Linked DNA regions of Cricetulus griseus. The main gene of each other region encodes a partner of the protein of the gene in region 3 in a complex. Links are inferred from orthologs where the notes say so. Each region holds a gene or a part of one and is shown on either strand. Other genes may lie near its edges.

Evidence for each region.
Region 1: the proteins of Pxn (region 3) and Sorbs1 are in contact, whole or in part, in a crystal structure (PDB 2O9V), measured with the Homo sapiens proteins. The link is inferred for Cricetulus griseus from reciprocal best matches to the Homo sapiens genes PXN and SORBS1. Residues at the interface, in NP_001074324.1 of Homo sapiens: Val45, Pro46, Pro47, Pro48, Val49, Pro50, Pro51, Pro52, Pro53, Ser54; in NP_001030126.2 of Homo sapiens: Phe876, Phe878, Val900, Asp901, Asn903, Trp904, Ile917, Pro919, Thr921, Tyr922.
Region 2: the proteins of Pxn (region 3) and Parvb are in contact, whole or in part, in a crystal structure (PDB 4EDN), measured with the Homo sapiens proteins. The link is inferred for Cricetulus griseus from reciprocal best matches to the Homo sapiens genes PXN and PARVB. Residues at the interface, in NP_001074324.1 of Homo sapiens: Asp3, Leu4, Leu7, Leu8, Asp10, Leu11, Glu12, Ser13; in NP_037459.2 of Homo sapiens: Ala241, Phe242, Thr244, Leu245, Ala249, Lys252, Val255, Val256, Ser259, Leu260, Tyr354, Phe357, Thr358, Lys361.
Region 4: the proteins of Pxn (region 3) and Fermt2 are in contact, whole or in part, in an NMR structure (PDB 6U4N), measured with the Homo sapiens proteins. The link is inferred for Cricetulus griseus from reciprocal best matches to the Homo sapiens genes PXN and FERMT2. Residues at the interface, in NP_001074324.1 of Homo sapiens: Ala562, Phe563, Cys564, Leu565, Gln576, Lys579, Tyr581, Lys588, Leu589, Phe590; in NP_006823.1 of Homo sapiens: Gly42, Gly43, Met45, Leu46, Glu50, Lys55, Lys56, Trp58, Ser59, Leu73, Thr75.

The regions. Positions count from the first base shown.
Region 1 is NC_048596.1:21,069,365-21,074,420, forward strand, and holds the start of Sorbs1 (sorbin and SH3 domain-containing protein 1), read left to right. Parts: upstream 1-1,944; 5' UTR 1,945-2,073; intron 2,074-5,056. UniProt on the Homo sapiens protein: Plays a role in tyrosine phosphorylation of CBL by linking CBL to the insulin receptor. Required for insulin-stimulated glucose transport. Involved in formation of actin stress fibers and focal adhesions.
Region 2 is NC_048595.1:381,091,310-381,096,524, forward strand, and holds the start of Parvb (beta-parvin), read left to right. Parts: upstream 1-1,861; 5' UTR 1,862-1,904; coding exon 1,905-2,019; intron 2,020-5,215. UniProt on the Homo sapiens protein: Adapter protein that plays a role in integrin signaling via ILK and in activation of the GTPases CDC42 and RAC1 by guanine exchange factors, such as ARHGEF6. Is involved in the reorganization of the actin cytoskeleton and formation of lamellipodia.
Region 3 is NC_048597.1:95,638,339-95,643,345, forward strand, and holds the start of Pxn (paxillin), read left to right. Parts: upstream 1-1,438; 5' UTR 1,439-1,453; coding exon 1,454-1,493; intron 1,494-1,597; coding exon 1,598-1,824; intron 1,825-2,075; coding exon 2,076-2,185; intron 2,186-2,520; coding exon 2,521-2,657; intron 2,658-2,745; coding exon 2,746-2,947; intron 2,948-3,926; coding exon 3,927-4,062; intron 4,063-5,007. UniProt on the Homo sapiens protein: Cytoskeletal protein involved in actin-membrane attachment at sites of cell adhesion to the extracellular matrix (focal adhesion). Recruits other proteins such as TRIM15 to focal adhesion.
Region 4 is NW_023276807.1:201,452,881-201,456,655, forward strand, and holds the end of Fermt2 (fermitin family homolog 2), read right to left. Parts: coding exon 3,735-3,775; intron 2,300-3,734; coding exon 2,126-2,299; 3' UTR 1,049-2,125; downstream 1-1,048. UniProt on the Homo sapiens protein: Scaffolding protein that enhances integrin activation mediated by TLN1 and/or TLN2, but activates integrins only weakly by itself. Binds to membranes enriched in phosphoinositides.

The DNA.
Region 1 (5,056 bases), on a different chromosome or scaffold from region 3:
TTGGTATGTACCAGTGCATATAATGCTCTTAGCACAAGTATAGCTGTGTACAGCAGACCGGACAGACAAATAAATACTTTCTGTTTTATTGCTTTACAGACCAGAGAGCTGTTTGTCCAGACAGTGGTATAAGTTATCAGTAGAGCCTGGGAAGTGTTTTCCAAAGGTCTGGGTGAGGTCTGGGTTCTCTGGTGACTTCTTGCTTCTTTGGTTATGGAGTGAACTCCCAGACAGCTAGGAGTCTTCAATAAAATAAACAAACAACACAGTTCAGGACAGCAGGTGCTCAGCAAGGACTTGTCATTGTTCCCTGATCTAAGAACTTTCTCAGATGGGGTTCTCCAGGCCTGTGCAGTCATCCAGGCCTATTGTTACCCCACCACACAGCCTGCTAACTGGGAACATGCTTGGGCTCAAGATTCTTGCCAAAGGCAGCTGAAAAGAATTAGTTGTGCTCAGCCTGAAGGGTGACTATCCTGCTGTTGGATAGTTTTGTCAACTTGACACAAGCTAAAGTCATCTGTGAGGAGGGAACATCAATTAAGAAAATACCTCCTTAATATGGGGCTGCAGGCAAGCCTGTAGGGCATTTTCTTAGTGATTGATGAGACAGGGCCCAGCTCATTGTGGGTGGCACCAACCCTGGGCTGGTGGTCCTAGTTTCTATAAGAAAGCAGGCTGAGCAAGCCATGAGGAGCAAGCACCCCTCCATGGCCTCTGCAACAGCTCCTGCCTCCAGGTTTCTGCCGTGCTTGAGTTCCTGTCCTGAGTTACTTCAATGATGGACTATGATTTGGAAATGTAACCCAAATAAACCCATTCCCTCCCAAGTTGCTTTGGTCATGGTGTTTTTGTCTAGCAATAGAAACCCTAACTAGGACACCTACCTTGAGGGATGTCCTTGGGATGTGGGAAGCTGGTCGTGGAAGAAGCAAGTTCCAGACTAGCTTTTGCTGGCTCATTGAACCTGCACAAACTCTCCTCCCTGTTGCCCTTTCTGCTATCCTGTAGGGAACTGGAGAAGGTTGTAAGACAGTAAGCATAAGGGACAAAATTGCATACCCTGCCTGTCCTTGGTTATTACTCTCTCCAGCTCATTTACTAATAATCTGGTTTACTTGTTCCTCCCTCAAATGCTAGCTTCTTAAAGGGAGGGTCCTTTTTAGTAACCCCAGGCTCAATGCATTCATGTCCATTGAACCTTGAATATAGGTTGTATGAATGAAAAATATCAGCATCAATCTATCAGTGGTGCACCCTATAATCCCACCACTCTAGAGGCTGAGTCAGGAAGACGGCCTGGGGTGTGTATGTCGGGGCATACCTGTAATCTCAGCATTTAGGAGGTGGAGGTAGGAAGATGAGAAGTTCAGGGTCATCCTTGGCTGCACAGTGAGTTTGAGACCACCTGAGAAAACATGAGCGTCTGTCTCAAAAAAGAAAGGGGGGGGGGACTAGTAATAGGGTCTCTCTCGCAAGGCTGTGAAGATCAAATGGAAAAAATAGGAAGCATCCTCAGGCACCTGTGTGGTAAGACTATAACCAGAGTGGCAGGGTCGTGAGCAAGATTTGATGTTTTACAGATCGTCAAAAGGGTACGGGGTTAAATAAATTTATAGATAGCCAGGACACACTGGCTGCTGCTGGTTTATGCTTACGGTTCCTTTCAAGCTCCCTGTGGGCAAACCCTTAGAGAGACCAGAGGACTGGAGTCTAGAGGCATTAGCGCCCAGGCCAGGGCAGAAAGGGTTAGCGGGCGCAGGGGCGCGCGCGCGCGCGCGTGATCGCCCCGCTCACAGGGACGCCTGGCGGCTTGGCGGCGGGCTCTTCCTCGCCTCCTCATTGGCGCACACGCCCCTTCCTGTCACGGCCGGCCAGGCCCCGCCCCCTGGGCGCTGCCGGAGTGGACGGTTCCAGGGCATGCTAATGAGGGGCTGGCCGCCGCCGCCCATTGGCCGGCCGCGGAGTGTCGGTGAAGTCAGCTCCGAGTAGCAGAAAAACAGAGCGGGGTTGACTGCAGCGTGGAGCGCGAGCCGGGCTGGACGCGCGCAGCCCTCGCCGGGGACCCGCGAGGTAAGCGGGTGGCGGCCGCGCTCTCCGGAGGGGGCTCCCGGGCGGGCGCAGCGGGCCCCCGGAGCGGCGCCTTTGTTCCTTGCGCGGAGGTGGTGCTTTTAAAGGGCCAGCGGTTGGAGGGACCTGGGGGGGCCTTCTCCCCCAGAGCATCCCCGGGTGGCCGCGGGGGACCTCTGCCGATCCGTGCCTCCCGGCTGCTCCGTGTGTCTCCCCACTCAGTCCCTTCAAGGAAAGTTGCTAGGACGCAGGGAGCTTGAGGGATTCCAGGTTTCTTTATGCCTTTTCGCTTTGGGTAGGTGGAGGTAATTGCGATCATGGCCTCTGATAGGAGGGAATGTCCTCCCGCCTCAGGCTGGCTGCAGTGTGGGTGGCTGGAGAAGGGAGAGCCCGGGTGGGTTTTGCCTGGAAAGTGAAACTACCGAGGGTCTCCTCTGCAGCGGCCAGAGGTGGAAGGGGGGAGCCAGCGGCCGGGATGGAGGCATCTCAGGTGTGTTCATTCATCAGCACCCTCCCTCCCCTTCCATCCCCAAAGCAGAGGGTGGCTGGATGGGCGCAGGGACTACATGCTGCTGGCCCGTACCCCGCCCGCACCCGCTTGTGGTGGTGGGTGTGTGTCCGGGGGTACCTTCGCTCACTGCCCAGGCCCCTTCATCCTTCAGTAGATGACAGCATCTCTCTCGCTAGGCAGCCCATCGCCAAAGGGACGGAAAGCTACTCCTTTCTCCTATGTCCCGGGCAGTCTTTCCCTGCTTTCCAGCGTGGTTTCCCTGATAAGCGGCAATGACATTCAAGATAGAAGGCTGAAGAGGCTTAAAGTCATTATGTTCCTTTGAAGGGCGATGTGCTGTCGAATTCTGTATCCTGGTTGTCGTACTAGGGCTTTGAAATTCATCAGTGCATGCTTTTTTTTTTTCCGGGCAGACAGAATTTATTATGCATTGCCACATAAAAGCAGAAGGGATCCCTCTGAGCGGGCTCATTTCATCCGGTCCGAGGGTTTTCCCAGCATGTTCTGGATGAGCCTTTGGATTTTTGTTTGAATCGCTGAGCTCTGGGATGCCCCTGTTGTCACAGGGCCAACCTACTGAAATTGCTCAAATTGATTTCACTGTCAGTAGGTAGGAGGTTCATCTAGAGACATCATAGAACCTGCCTGGCATGTTAGGCCTCCAACTGCATCTTCCCACCCTTCAGCCCTCCACACTGGTGTGCCCTTTTTCTTCCTAGGCGAAGGCCAGAGATGGCTTGTCTGGCCACATGTTTCTTTGATTTTTGAATGCCTGTTTAGATTTGAGTGTGTGTTTTTGGTTGGAAAGATAGCTTGTTGGTGACTGAAGGATGGATTAAAAGTGGGCTGGACAGCAAAAGGGGACAGCAGTCTCAATGACAGAAGACACATTTGGAGATTCTCTAGCTTCAGCCTTTGGTGAGTGAGATGTCTACAGAGTGAGGTGTGTGTGTGTTGGCTGTGAGGGGGAGGGGTGGAGGAGGAAGATACTGCCAACAGTTTTCTGCCCCACCCTCATGCTACTGCCTTAAATAACTCCATGCCAGCCCTGCCCTGAGGTCTCCTTCTAGAGCCTGAGGGGAAAGGGTGGTCTGTCTGTTGGGCCACTCCTGCTCTGGGCACATTTGGAGGTTAGGGAAGGGGTAGTTCTTAGGGGGTCAAAGATGGTATATTTTTCAGTTTGAGGACCTGTGATAACTGTCTGGTGACTTCTCTGCAGGCAATTAGTAGCTGAAATGAAGTGCTTTTGACCCTGTGGGGTGAAGGGCCACCACCCTCTTCTGTACAGCCCCCCCCCCACTTTGTTGGCCCTGTCTTTCTCTTACCAGCTTTTATTTGCTATAGTGATAGAGTTTCTCTGTAAACTTTTTGAAGAGATTGGGAATATTGGGATAGAGTTGGAATTATGGCAAAGGAGAAAAGAAAATTGCTTCTTCCTGGCAGAACAAAGACTCGCTCGGCTCTTCTTTTTCTTCTCCAAAATAGAGTGGGGTGCCCACAGCAGAGTGTGGACCGATAGGGTCCAGGGAAGAGAGCTTTGTCTGTATGGCACTGGTATTGTCCTGGTCACTCCAGTTCCACTCTCGCTGGGCCCTTCTCTGGGTGTGGAAGCAGAGGGTGGCCACTGGCGGTTTAGGATTTAACTAGCCTGTTTGTGAAGGAGGAATGGATGATCCGAGAAAAAAAAAAAAGGAAAAAAAGAAAAAAAAAAAAAGAGCTTGGGCCAGAAGTGGCATGGCCAGCTTTGGTTCTGATCAGTCGTGTCTGGGCCTTGGGTTTGTGCTTTATTCTATGTTATTGTCAGTGAAGTGGGAGGCTTTAGAGCAATGACTTTCTAGGTTCCCAGTAGCACTACTTACTTTAAATTCACAAGTACATTTTGTGATGGCGAATTTAGATTCTTTCCTGTTTGCTAGCTGGATGTTAAATTCTCAGTATTTAGCAACAGGACTGAAAAAGCACTTTCCCACTCGGGCTTTGGTTGGATTCAGACTACCTTTTTTTTTGATTGGTGCGATTCATGTGGTTTTAGCATAGTAAATAATTCAGAATGATCCAGAGTGAGAGACACAGACCTCAGAGTTGGTGTGTGGGGGAGGGGAGGATGGGTGACAGATTGCCGAGGAGAGGCCGTTTCTGTAATTCATTCTCTCCTCATCTATGTTTTATTTATGCTTACACAGGTGAACATTTCAATATTGGGAGCATGGGCAGGGGACCTTCCTCTATGATTGACCCATTCAGTGGCCATCACTGAGGAGTGAGTGTTGGGAGGTTTGGCCATTTGTCTGAGGTCAGGATGCAGATGGGGGTGTGAATCTGGGTCTTATGTTCTAGAGTGAAACTCTCCCTTCTGTGAGAGGAGCCTAAGAAGGGAGGGAGAAAAGTGTAGAAAAGAGTAGAGCCAGCATTCCTGTGTCCTTGGAGTGGAGAGTGAAATAAGGAGCAGAGCCCCTTCGCTTAGATATGTGTGTG
Region 2 (5,215 bases), on a different chromosome or scaffold from region 3:
GGTGACCCGAACCATAAACTTATTTTCATTGCTACTCCATAATTTTGCTACTGTTATGAATCAAAATGTAAATATCCACGTTTTCTGATGGTTTTAGTTGACCCCTGCAAAAGGGTCATTTGACCCCCTAAAGGGGTCAAGAGGCCACTATTGCTCTAGAGGAACAAAACTGATTGTGTGTGTGTGTGTGTGTGTGTGTGTGTGTGTGTTAGAGTGGCTTATAGGCTGTGGTCCAGCTAGTCTAATAATGGCTTTCTACTAGTGGAAAGTATAAGAATCTAGTACTTGTTCAGTGCATGAGGCTCAATGTCTCATCTGGTTTTTCAGTATATGCCAGAATCCTGAAGAAGTGAGCTTCTAATGCCAGTGAAGGAATAGATTCGCCAGCAAGAGCAAGGGGAGGCAGGAAAAGAGAAAAAAAAAAAAAAACAAAAAAACTTCCTTCTTCCATGTCCCTTATATAGGCTGCCAGAAGATCTGGATTTAGGGTGGTTCTTCCCACCTCAAGTGATGTAATTAAGGAAAAATCCCTCACAGGTGTGCCCAGTCAGGTAGGTTTTAGCTAATCTCAGATGTGGTCAAGTTGATAACCAAGAACATCCAGCAGACCTTTTTATTCAGTTTAGAGTCCAGCTCCTGGGATGGTGCTGCCCAGAGTAGGCAATCACATGGGAGTTTGCAGTTCTGAGATTTCCTTGATCCTGGGGTCTCAGAGTCTCCCCAGTGCTTAAGAGAGAAGCAGCTTCAGCACTGAGCAGTAGGCCAGGGAAAGCCACATGGCCTTTGGTGCCAGGAGGGTGGCTCTGTAGAGAAAGGAGCTGCCAGGACCTGGCGTAGGCAAGAGATGCCTGTCCCTGCCTGAGTTTTCTTTATCTCCTAGTGAAAGGAGGTGATTCTTTTCCTTGTCTCTGGAAACCATGCCTCCCTAACAGTCTTGTTCCCTGTTTTATCCTAAATCCTGGCCCTCTGTTCCTTTTCTTCCTACTGGAGTCACCACTGCCCCTGTTCCACCCTTGGCTTGTAACTCCATAGGTAGTGGGCATCCCATTCCCCATGACAAATTCCAAGAGGGGGCAGCTTGGTTACCCTTTCTGCCAATGTGAATTGTAAATATTTCCTGCCCTGAACTGAAATCGCTTGCCAGAGGGAATGAGGCTGTGAACCTGCACAAAGGGAGAGGGAACCATCCCCACCCCACCCCACCCCACCCCACCCCACCCTTATAATTAGGTGCAGTTTTATCCCAGGCTAGGTCCTGATAGTTCCTATCTCTGCTGAGCCATGCACCCACCCGCCTCCTACAGCCACAGGCCATTTGGCTCTCCCTCTGCGTATGCCTGCCTCTGATGCTGCTTCTACCCCCAACCTCTCTAGAAACCCTTTCACTTCCCTCCTAGTAAGGCTTCCTGCCTGGCCTCATCCCTGTTAATCATCTTCTATTCCCAGGTCAGCAACAATCAATTTTGCACAACTCAAACCTAGCCATGTTAGGCCAGCATCCATCCCTAGGCCTGCGTTCTTCCTCCAGGTGCCCTCCTGATTCTTCCTGCTGGGAAGCCTTTGGCTGAGCTTGCCTTGAAGGAAGGGTGTGTGAGGCCACTGTCCCACAAAGGCACCCACTATACCCCAAGCATCGACCTAATAAGGGATGTTAGGGATCCTGGCAGAGACTCAACAGCTGACTTTACATATTTATGGGACTAATTGATTCTGGGCTTCCAGCACGCTGAGGCCGCACAAAAGGGGGCGGTGGTGCCTGGCACCACACGCAGGGTCCCACTGCGTTGCGGGTGGGGAGCTCAGCCGCAACACCAGACCTCGAGGTCAGTAGGCAGGGGCGGGGAAGCCGCGGCCGCGCCCTCCTGGCCACTCCCCGGCCGGCGGTGGGTGGCGCGCACTCGCATATGTCCTCCGCGCCACCGCGATCGCCCACCCCGAGGGCCCCCAAGATGAAGAAGGACGAGTCTTTCCTGGGCAAGTTGGGTGGCACGCTGGCGAGGAAGAAGAGGACCAGGGAAGGTGAGTGCTCCCCCGTGTCCTCTTGGCGCCAGCCGGGTGCCAGCGATGTCCCCTGGCTGTCTGCTCCCTGTCCTCTTCGGCGGCTCCAATGAGCCCTCCCTCCGCGCCCAGGCTGCACTGCCCGCCACCTTTGGATCAGGCCGGTCCTTGTCCCTGCGACCTTTGCAGTGCTGGCCCGGTGCCCAGGACGTGCGTCCTGCTCTGGACACAGGCTGAGCAGGGTATGGTTCTCGTGCCTACCCTTGTCGTATGACACTCTCGTCACAGTGATTGGACACATGCGTGGTGGGGAGGGCCGGCTGCTGACTGTTTGATGTCGGCACGCGTGGCTTGGTCCCTAAGCTGGGGAGTCAGTGAAAAGGCACAAGTGAAAGGAAGCCTGGAACCAGGGCCACGAGCCCCCCCACCCCCACCCCAGGCCCCCAATCGTGCACGTTGCACAGGAAAGTAATTTTAAAACGACACCCCTTTACTTTTTAAACTTTAATAAAACAGAATTTCAAGGGATGTAACTTCTGCTCCTGGGCCAGTGCCTCAGTCATACTGCAGTTCCTAGTCCTTCTCTTGCAGAGACATTCCTGACTTTTCTATTGTTTTGGCCTGGAGGCTCCTGCCCTTGGGCTGAGGTTCCTGGCGCTCACAAGGAATGGGAGGGGCTTGCTAGGGAGAAAGGGCAGGTAGAGAGAAGCCCCAGAGCCCGGCTTCCTGGGGATTAGTTGGCTAGGGATTATCTGATAGGCTGCGCAGAGGGTCTCCTCCAGCCACTGGGGCAAGCTTACTCCTAGAAAGTCTTCCTGGACCTTAAGGGACAAACTAGTCCCAGGAAGTTGACTGATAATCACCCAGTGCTCCCGAAGGACAGCAGTGATATATTTAGTGTTAAAGGAACTTCAAGCCCTAAATTATGGGCAGACTCACTCTGGCCTTTCAAGGCATCTTGAAAGGCAGGGCATGTAGGGAAATGCAGAGCTTGTCTGAAGTGTGATACTACCTAAACTTTGATAGAACCCATGAAGATCCTGTGGCCCCCCCCACACCCTGCCCAGACTTGCCTTCCCAGACCTTCAACCCCATAATGCCCTTTACCAAACTAGATAGTCCAGTTCCCTGCGGGCAGGGAACTGGTCTCCCCGCCCCCTCTCAAATCTTCTGTTGCAGACCCTCCAGGTTGGCTTGCATTGAATTCATCGCCATCAGTGTAGTGTAGTCATTGTGATCCTGCCTACAAGTCGGTTCTCTTCCTCTTACATGCTATGACAAGGGTGGACCTGCATTCATTCCATCATTGGGTTTTGTTTTTGTTTTTGAATTGGGGTTATGCTATGCCACCACCTCTGGACTCAAAGTCCTGGATTTAAGTGATCCTCCTGCCTCAGCCTCCCCTGTATTGGGAACTGTGGGTGTGTTGCTACCGGATTGTGGCTTATCATCTATGTGAATCCTCAGGGTCCTGGGAGTGGATGCCATAATGTGGAAGCCGATGGGAAGTCCCATGATCCTAAGCTGTAATTGTCAGAGGGCTGGGGAATGGGGGTGGTGATGTTGAGGATGAAACCCAAGAAAGAAAATCTTTCATAGCCGGCCGTTGGTGGTACATGCCTTTAATCCCAGCATTCGGGAGGCCGAGACAGGCGGATCTCTGTGAGTTCGAGGCCAGCCTGGTCTCCGAGTGCCAGGACAGGCTCCAGAGCTACACAGAGAAACCCTATCTCGAAAAACCAAAAAAAACAAAAACAAAAACAAACAAACAAACAAAAAAACAACAAAAAGAAATCTTTCATAGAAAAACACGTGTAAGAGTGTGAATGGTTACAGTTTCTGTGTGTTCCATGTGTGTACACATGCATGTACAGGCTAGAAGTCATGCTGGGTCTCTTCCTCAACGTTCCTCATTATCTGCTATCTATCTATCTATCTATCTATCTATCTATCTATCTATCTATCTATCCTGGCTGGCCTGGAACTTGTATAGCCAGACTGGCTTGGAACTTAAGAGACCAACCTGGTTTTTTGTTTTTTTTTTAAAGATTTATTTATTTATTATGTATACAACATTCTGCTTCCATGTATATCTGCACACCAGATGAGGGCACCAGATCTCATAAGGGATGGTTGTAAGCCACCATGTCGTTGTTGGGAATTGAACTCAGGACCTCTGGAAGAGCAGTCGGTGCTCTTAACCTCTGAGCCATCTCTCTAGCCCCGAGACCAACCTGGTTTTGCCTTCTGTGTGCTGCTATTAAATAAAGGCATGTGCCACTCCACTGGGTTCCATCTTGTTTTTTGAGACAAGTCTTTTACTGACCCAGGGGCTCTTTGACTTGGACCAACAATCGCCAAGGTCCTCTGTCTTCACCTCCCCCGATTAGAGATTATAGGTGAGCAACACTTACCTGGCTTTTGACTTTTTAAAAATTATCAGTGCTGGGGATGAAACTCTGGTCCTCATGCAAGCAAACACTTTACCAACAGAGCTGCCTTCCCTGCCTTTCACAGCTTTTCTAGGTGGTACTTAGACTACTGGAACATGAGGGATGCACAGCAAAGTAATGAGCTGGCCTCGGTTTCCAATCCTAAGTCCTTCTCTGCTTTGCTTGTATGGGAGCATGTGTATCCAGAAGACAGGGGCCCAGTCTGGCCCAGTTTAAATATACCCAGAACCCCAGCAGCACCTCCCTCTGTCTGCTTGCTTCTGCTGGTGTAGCCATCCTGGTGAGTTAGCTGGGCCCTCTGCCTCGGTTCCCAGCGTTGGAATAAGTACCTCTCACCCCTATAACCAGAAAGTCACAAACCCTAATTGGTCTCTGAGGCAGGAGTGGAGGAAAAGATCAGCCTTGGAAGGGCTGAGTGGCTTCCATGTGGTCCTCTGGGAAGTGGAGAAGGGATGGAGGGGCAAATGTGAAGACTGTGTAACGAGGTCTTGAATAATTGAGCGTTGAGAGCTGCCAGTATTTCTGCAGACCTGTTGCCTTGGCAACCGGCCCTCCTGACTGCTCTTAGTCTTGACTTTGGGCCGTGGGAGCTTATGCATGGATGCCTGCTAGGGAATGACCAGGGGGAGGGTATGGGGCTCCCCAGCCTTCCAGCCAAACACTTAGCTATTTTTCCTCTTTTGTCCAAAAGTCCAGGGTGGATTGTGGTCATTTTCTGAGCTGAGGACCTCGGAAGTGGGGAGGGGATGGCTGGAGAAGTTCAA
Region 3 (5,007 bases):
GCCCAGAGGAAATGGACAGCAGGTGTGGCCCTAGAGACTCTTTGGGATTGGCTTTGGACATTAGTTCCTTTTATGCCCTTACCTAGACTCATAGAGACTCCCTGTAGTTCCGGTTTGTTGGAGGCAGGAAGTCAGAGCTCCTCCGGGGGACCTGGACGGGGAGGGGCTGCAGGAGCAGAATTTCTTCAGCAGCAAGAGACTGGGACCCAGGGTCCCGGCCTTCGAACAACTTCTCGTCCAGCCATACAGCAGGAGCCAGGGGTAGGTGCACCCACCCTAGTGACAGGTAGTCAGGGCTGCTAGGAGAGGGCATGACCTCAAAGGCCCTTGCTTCCCTTTTCTCTGCATGGGAATGGAGCTACAGACAGGGCCGCCAGCAAGGATCAGAGCTCGAGCCCCTGGTGTGTAGGAAGTTGAGTTCCTTAGATTTGGTATCTTGTCTCTTTGAAATCACAGCAGTCCCTCCTGCAGGCTTGGTGTCTGGGACTTAAGGAGTCTGAGGAGTCTTGTGATCCTGCCCTTTCCTGCTTTATCACTCAGGGCAGGTACTGCTAGCCTCCAAGCCTACTTTCCTCAGCTCCAAAGACAACAGTTTGGCCTTTTAGGTCACCAGAAGGGGCACTTGTTTGTGACCACGCGTGTAGATGCCTTTAGTGGTTCCTAGTAGATGGTGATCAGTGCAGTGCAGCCACTGCCCCTCGATTGCCACTCACGAGGGCCCAGGAAGCAGGTCACTAGATGCTGAGAGTGAGCAGGTCAGTGAGCAGTGCAGGAAGGAGGGAGGGTGTGGTGAGCGGGGCTGGACTGTACCCAGGCCGTGGCACTGTGGAAGGTCCCAAGATGGGAGGCTATGGCAGGAAGGTCAGTACCTCCAACTCCTGTCCCTCTAGCTGTCCCTTCCTGTCGAGAACCTGAGCCTCTTGTCGGCTACTGCATGCCAGGGTAATGGCAGCTTGTGTTGGAGATCTGACCCACCCCCCATTAAAAGCGGAGTCATGGGGCCCTGGAGTTTCTAGGGCTGGGCTGCTTGCCAGGCTTTGGCAGAGCAGTCTTACTCCCAGCTTGTTGAGGGGGTGGCTGCTGCCGAGCTGGCTTCATGCCAGCCCCCTACCTCTCTGCATACCTTACCCACAGCCTGGGGCCTCAGGAGGAGCTTAGAGCATGGAATTCCGCTCCTACCTGGAGCACAGGTGCTCCCTAAGGCCACCCCCTGTCTTTAGACTTGGGCTGAGGCTCTTAGAAGTCCAGAGAGGACCTGGCTCTATCTACCCAGCCCCTCCCTGTGCTGTGACATGACGTAGGACTCCTCCCACCCAGCTCTCCCAGTTGCCCTCAGGAATCAGAGTTCTAAGCAGGCATTTCTTGCTTACACCAGGCAGCAGCAGCCTAGCCTTGTCAGGAGGAATGCAGAGCCAGGCATCTAACCCCTGAGGGAGGAGAGGACGGGCAGCCGATGTGGAAACTCCAGGTCTCTTCTCCCATCGAAGCAGCAGGTGTCTGCCAGACAGGATCTCTTCAAGTTCAGGAAGGCAGGACACTGCCCCTGGGAAGTGCCCAATAGGGCCAACTCTCACCAGTGGACGTCTTCTCTTTGCAGACGCCCTGCTGGCAGACTTGGAATCAACCACCTCCCACATCTCCAAACGGCCAGTGTTCTTGTCAGAGGAGCCCCCTTACTCCTACCCAACTGGAAACCATACCTATCAGGAGACTGCAGTGCCACCCCCTGTTCCACCACCCCCATCCAGCGAGGCCCTCAATGGCACGATCCTTGACCCCTTAGACCAGTGGCAGCCTAGTGGTTCCCGATACACTCACCAGCAGGTAAGGTGGGGTCTGCGGAGCCCTTGGGGGCTGAGTGGTAAAAGGAGCTGATCTGCCGAGGAGATGGAAAGCCATTGGGGATGGACTGGGATTCTGGGCTCCTAGTCATACACTGCCCTTCTCACCCACCATGTGAGGGGCCAGTGACCAAGTATTAATCACCTGACTAGCTGTGGAAATTCCCTGGTGAGACAAGCTATGAGCAGGAGCTGCCTGGGGGTGGCCTGAGTAAAGTACTCTTTCTTCTGCAGCCTCCATCCCCGTCACCTGTGTACAGCTCCAGTGCTAAGACTTCCGGTGCCTCTAACCCTCAGGACAGCGCTCTCTGTTCCCGAGCAGGCGAGGAAGAACACGTCTACAGGTACAGAACCAGCACTGTACATCAGCCCGGCTTCTGGGAAACCCTAGGGCCACTGGTGGAACTATAGAAGGCCTGAAGGCCCCTGCCAGGCCCTGTGCTTGTCAGCTGGCTCCCCTCTGCCCTGTCACTGCCTTCTCTGTAGAGACAGCATCTCTGTAGTTGAGAAACTGAAGCAAAATTTCCTTCCTCCTTGCCTTACCACATTCCTTCCCTACCCTCCGCCTTCTTGCTGAAGAGACTTGGTAACATTCCACCCCTCCGGCCTTGAGAATCTGGGGCCTGCCACATCCAGTGCAGGGCAGAAGAGTCTTACTTGTTTCCTCTCCTTCTCAAAGCTTCCCCAACAAACACAAGTCCGCAGAGCCTTCACCTACCATGATGAGCTCCTCCCTGGGCAACAACCTCTCGGAGCTTGACCGTCTGTTACTAGAACTGAACGCTGTGCAGCACAACCCTTCAGGCTTCCCTGCAGGTGTGAGCGGGTCTCTGGACTACTCATGGGCCTTTGGGTTCCTAGAGGACTCAGGGATGAGCAACCATTTTGTTTCCTTATCTCCAAGATGAAGCCAACTCAAGCCCCCCACTACCTGGAGCCTTGAGCCCCCTTTATGGTGTCCCAGAGAGTAACAGTACCCTGGGAGGAAAAACTGGGCCCCTGATGAAAGAGAAGCCAAAGCGAAATGGAGGCCGGGGCCTGGAGGATGTGCGGCCCAGCGTGGAGAGCCTCTTGGATGAACTGGAGAGTTCTGTGCCTAGCCCTGTGTGAGTATCCATTAGGGTCTCCCCAGGCTGGGGAAGCTCTTGAAGTCTCACCCCGACTGTCTTCGGGCTGTGTGGTACCTGTCCATCAGCCCTGAAGTCACCTGCTCCCTACAGTGTCTGCTACTTGCCAGGTCCTGGGGATATGGCATGACCCGGCAAAGCCAGGGTTAGCACAGGTTTGCTGATGTGGCACAGGGTTTAGATCATGGCTGTGCCAGCTACAACAGTCTTACTCTCGCTCTATAAGTTGGAATAAGCCAAAGTAGGGCATGGTGACACATGGTTATAATCCCAGCATTTGGGAGGTCGAGGTTTGGAGATCTCAGGTGCAAGACCAATCTGGGCTATATAAGTGAGTTCCAAGACAGTCTGAACTGCATGAGACCATAGCGCAAAAATACGACATAAACTATAAAATAGGTAAAGCAGACAGTAATAATGGAGATGACCCTACATAGTAAATAGAGTGAGACCAAATAGTATATAATAGTATATAATGTTGGGGGGGGTGGGGGCTGGCTCGTAGCTGTGGCAATCACAGCTATTAGGGAAGCCCCTAATAGCGTCAGGTCTTGTTTATTTTGAGGTAGGGTTTCACTCTATATCCCAGACTCTTCTGAAACTCACTATGTAGTAGCCCTCCTGCCTCAGCTTCCCAAGTGCTGGGTTACAGGGATGAGCCACCATGTGTCAGTGTTTATTGATGTGTAATAATCTCGCATGTGTATAGTGTTGAGAGGCTTTGTAGTGGTGCCCCTGTCTTCCTGTAGGGGTACTGTGAACCACCTACCTTCTCTGGTCACCTCACCTCAGCACTGTTTCTTAGCTAGTCACTCTTTCCCAGGGATGGGGATCCCTAAGGTGCTGCTGGGTTCTGGTGGCCTTCCCTGGAGTTGGAGGTGTCGTTGATCTGGAGCCCCCCCCGTGGAGCCTGGGGCTGACCCTTGGGCTCCTTACTGACTCCATGCCTGCCCCACAGCCCGGCTATCACTGTGAACCAAGGTGAGATGAGCAGCCCACAGCGAGTCACCTCCAGCCAGCAGCAGACACGCATCTCGGCCTCCTCTGCTACCAGGGAGCTGGACGAGCTCATGGCTTCACTGTCGGATTTTAAGGTGCCCTCTGATTCTCTCTGTCTTCCCTGCTCCCATCCATTACCCTTCCTCAGTATGACTAGCAGCTCCTCGGGGCCCTGGAGGAGAGAGGCTAGGTAATATTCAAGACTGAGCTCCTTAGCAGCTTGTGAAGGCAGAGAAACCAGAGATGCCTTTAGCTGGAACATTCCTCCCTCTCCTGGTGATCCCAGCCACCAGGTCAAGGGGACCAGGAGCTGGAACACAGTGACAATGAGCCCTGTGTTGATAGCTGCTCTTGGTGGGGGAGGGTATGTCCTGCTGGGCCCCGTGGGACCAGGACCTCATGCCTGAGAGGTCACTTGTCCCAGAGCTGTATCTCCCACGCTATCTGTCCTCAGAGCACCCGCTTTCTTTCTGCTGTGGGGATGGGGTTTTCCAGCATTTCCAGCCAGCTTCCTTCTACCCTCACTTTCTTCTTTAAGGGCCTGAGTTCCCAGAGTCCTGTCTGTGGGAAACTTAACCTGCCAAGCACCTGGCCAGTCGGCATGAGGCGTCCCACCTTCCCCTCCCAGGCTCTCCAGGCCTGCCTGTCCACAACGTTTTCTTTAGAAGATGTGGTGCCTCAATAGGGATTAATACTGACTGAAATTTCTCATAGTTGCTGACTTCAGCTCCATGTGGGTCAGCCAGAGACCTTTGAGGCACAGCTTGGGGAATATGAGAAGGGAGCCAGGCTGTCTGTCCATTCTTGGCCTAGAAGGTGCCTCCTGCCTCCCTTCAGCTGGACTCATACTTGGAGCTCACACGGAGGTGGGAGATTGGGTGGAATTGGGGCTGGTAATAGCAATCACCTTGTTGCTGTGGTGATAAGCAGCCAGTCAGGATCCAGGCACTGATGGTGCTGGTACCTGTCCCTTAAGGCTGCAGTTGCTTTCTTAGACCTGTAGTCCAGTGCCACACGAGGAAAAGCTACACTGTGTCTTG
Region 4 (3,775 bases), on a different chromosome or scaffold from region 3:
ACATAAACCACAACTAAACAACACAACAAGAAATGGTCTGCCCTGTCTTTGCCTTTTGGACGTGTGACATTGGAGAGTTAAAAACTGCAAATGTCTTTCTTTCAAGGTTACAAAGAAGTAGTTGGTCAGGGTTGACATGACTGTCAGGAGCATCTAACAGGCCACCAGCCTGTGGACTGAGAACAAGATTTGGATGGAGCTCGGCTAGTCCCTGTTCCTGTGCCTTTGTGAACTTTAATCACAGGGAACACAAACTCAAAGGTAGGTTTCTGGGCATCCTAGCCAGTGTTCTTGCAAAGTGCCTTTCCTGTTTGAGGCTGCGGCCCATAGGCTTCTCTGGGGCTCAGGTGGCTTGCTTTCCTCATGACTGGACAGAGGGATAGGAACCTGGGCCCCAGTCAAGCTCTGCCCTGGCATCCATTAAATACAGCTGGCAGCTCAGAGAAGGCAAAGAGCACACTTGGCTCCAAGGCAACTTAGAAGTATTAGGAAGAAAAACTACAAACAGTAAAATTTCTAAAGGCAGGAAAATTCAGACAGGCGAAGAGTAGGTGCAGGGCTGGGGATAGTACGGACGATGGGGTGAAATGTCAAGAGCAGCAGTTAGTTCTGACCCATGGGTCTTAACCCTTTAGGGGTCAAATGATCTTTTCACAGGGGTCACTAAAGACCATCAGAAAACACAGATATTTCCATTATGATTCATAACAGTAGCAAAATTATAGTTATGGGGTAACAATAAAAATAGTTTTATGGTTGGGGGTCAGCATGACACGAGGAACTATATTAAAGCGTCACAGCATTAGGAAGGTGGAGAACCACATTAGGTTTAGGTTTTTGCTTCATGTGTATTAGAGAAAAAGCAATAGGCTGACAGGGTCAAGGGAAGGTACACAATTCAAAGTTTGGAGTCTAAATGGAGAACAGCAAAGAATGCACCTTAGAGACAAAGACTTCATCTGGGACCTGGTCTAGCACCGGTGGCCATTCTAACAACACAGAGGTAGGTAGTGTTGAGAGATCAGAAGCACAAAAAGAACATGTTAAATAAAAGGTTTTGCTTTTATTTAAAATAAAATGCATTTATACAGTCTTTAAGTCATGGATTATTGGACAATACTGGTAAGTCTACCCCTTCTGGCGCCCTCTGGGCTTGTGAGCTAGGAGTTTTCTAACTAGCACCAATGCAGACTGTAACAGCGCAACAGACCAGAGCACAGCCAGTCCAGGGGCAGAGCTAAGGGCATCACGGCAAGTCATGACCATCATGAAGGCATTCTTAATTTAGCAGATACTGAAACTGCATATTAATTATACACTTTAAAAGCATTTAATTAATGCAACGATGCTACATTTAAGCCATTTCCTAGTTGTGAATAGTTTTTAAAAAACTGTACAATTTTATAAAATTTGTGTTTGTACATTAGTTACACAAAATGCATACTTCATAGAACTTTACTTCATATTGTAACACAAAGGTTGCATATTTTAGGCAGATAGTGAATATGCTGGTGAATACTAAGAGTGTTGTAATACAGTATGGTGTAAAAATAAACACAAAACAATGTACAACATGCTTATTCAAGGACAAACCCAGTCAAGCACAACAACAGATCAACAGCACTTCCTTCAAGGTCAATGACATCATCGAATACCAAGCATCTACTGCAGACCCGATTTTATATTAGGAGAGGGGACTGATTGGCTACCAGAAGTAGGGTATTTTAAGAGAGGGCATCAAATGAAACATACATTAAACACATGCATTATACATGATAAATAGACTTCATATAGGTTACACCCTGGATAACTTGGTAGTAGATGGCTTGTTTCTTAGTTTGGCTAGTGTCAATCAGCGACAGCTGGCTCCTGATTCACCCATTACTTCAGATTTCAATTCATGGCCTGAGGAATGTTCGGTATTCCACAGTCCACATACTGCATCACGGTAGCAGATTAATAACCGTGCTTGTTAGTGCACATATTAACCGGTCTGATAAGGCAAAGAGTTTTCATGATAAAATGATAAATTTCAAGCTTACTTTATTAAGCAGCATATAGGAAACAATAGCTTTAAAGTTAAATATTGTTATGGCTGTGGAGTTTCATTACACAGTTTTCCTATTCACACCCAACCACTGGTGAGTTTGTAAAACATCTCCTCATCTAAACTCTCATTCTGGTCTTTTGCACGAGTCGAGAGAAATATGTAACCACCAATGAACTCATGGACCACCTTACAGTCTACTTCAGTACAGATGAAGGACAACCGGACCTCGTCTGCAAACTCCACAGTGACCTGGAACAGAGACAAAGAATCATCAGTGTCCCCAGGAGCTTCTGTAAGTTCATTTTGTAGGTGTCCACTGAATTGCTGCCACTCCCCAGATAATTATCCAAGAACAGCAATAATGTCTGTGTAACTAACAGTAAGAAAACTGAAAACTGTATCATCCCTTCCCCCATTCCTTTAGTTTGCAAGTTCTCAAGGGGTTTAAGCCATTAAGTTCCCAAGTGGTCTATGGTAATGCAATTATTGAGAATGTCTTTCTTCAGGTCCTGGGAGAAAATCTACTTCCTGTGTTTTATTTAACATTTGCTCCAGTATTTAACCTTTAGGTATCATGTTTAAATATTTCAGAAAGATGAGTTTTTCTGTTAGCAACTGATACAACATATCCAATCTGCCAAGCCAAACACCTCTACCAGGTAAGACTGTTTCATATGATGTCCATGTGAAAAAGAAAAAGGGCACCATAGTGGCTACATAGTGGTACATGCACCAGGATTCAGAGACCAAAAACAAACTGTTTGAACACTGAGCCAATCACTAAGTGTGGGCATGGATAATAACCATGTTAGGCTTTGAGATGAGGATAAATGCAAACATTTAGTGTCATGCCTGGCCCAAAGAGGCATGGGACACAAACTCTGCTGCTATAAGGGATTTAGTTATTATGGAGAGATAGCATCATGGTCTACACTTGAATCCTAAGGATTGGGCTTTTTTTTTTTTACTATTCATATTTTAAGACAGTCTTCCATAGCCCATGCTGGCCTCTAAGTTGCTATGCAGTGGAAGTGACCTGGCACTCTGTTCCCTCCAAGATGCTCCACCAACCAGGGCTTCAGGAATGCTAGGCAAGTGCTATCCCTAGGGCTTTTTTTTTTTTTTTTTTTTTCTGTTTTGTCTGCATACATGTCTATGAGGCCAGATGAGGGTGTCAGATCCCCTGGAACTGGTTGTGGGTGCTGGGAATTGAACCTAGGTCCTTTGGAAGAACAGCAAGTGCTCTTAGCTGCTGAGCCATCTCTCCACTCCAATTTATTTGTAAACAAACAGAGACTACCCTGTGCAGAGCCTCATTTGGATGAGGCTGGAGTCTTGGAAGCTTGGCTTCCTACCTAATGGTGGCCTTTGAAAGCTTGTTTGAAGGTTGTAGAGCATGGGAGCACAGCTGCTCGTATACCCTTGGCAGAAAGAAGGCTGGCTGTATTCTCCCACTAACAAGTATGAGAGGTGAAGGGGGGCACCAGAACTCACTAGCCACACAAGCCGAATGCGCCCTAGCAGTTAATGGGGGTATAAAGTATCACAGCCAAATTACCTCACATAACCCAATCTCCAGGATTTAAGACTCCCCCTTTTTGTTTTTCTGAAGTGTGGGGGAACAAATCCAGATCCACTGAACTATGAGTGCACCCTCAGCGGCAGAAACCCATTGCTAGTTTACCATCTTGATCTCCCAGTTGACATTCCACTGCTTCATGTTGC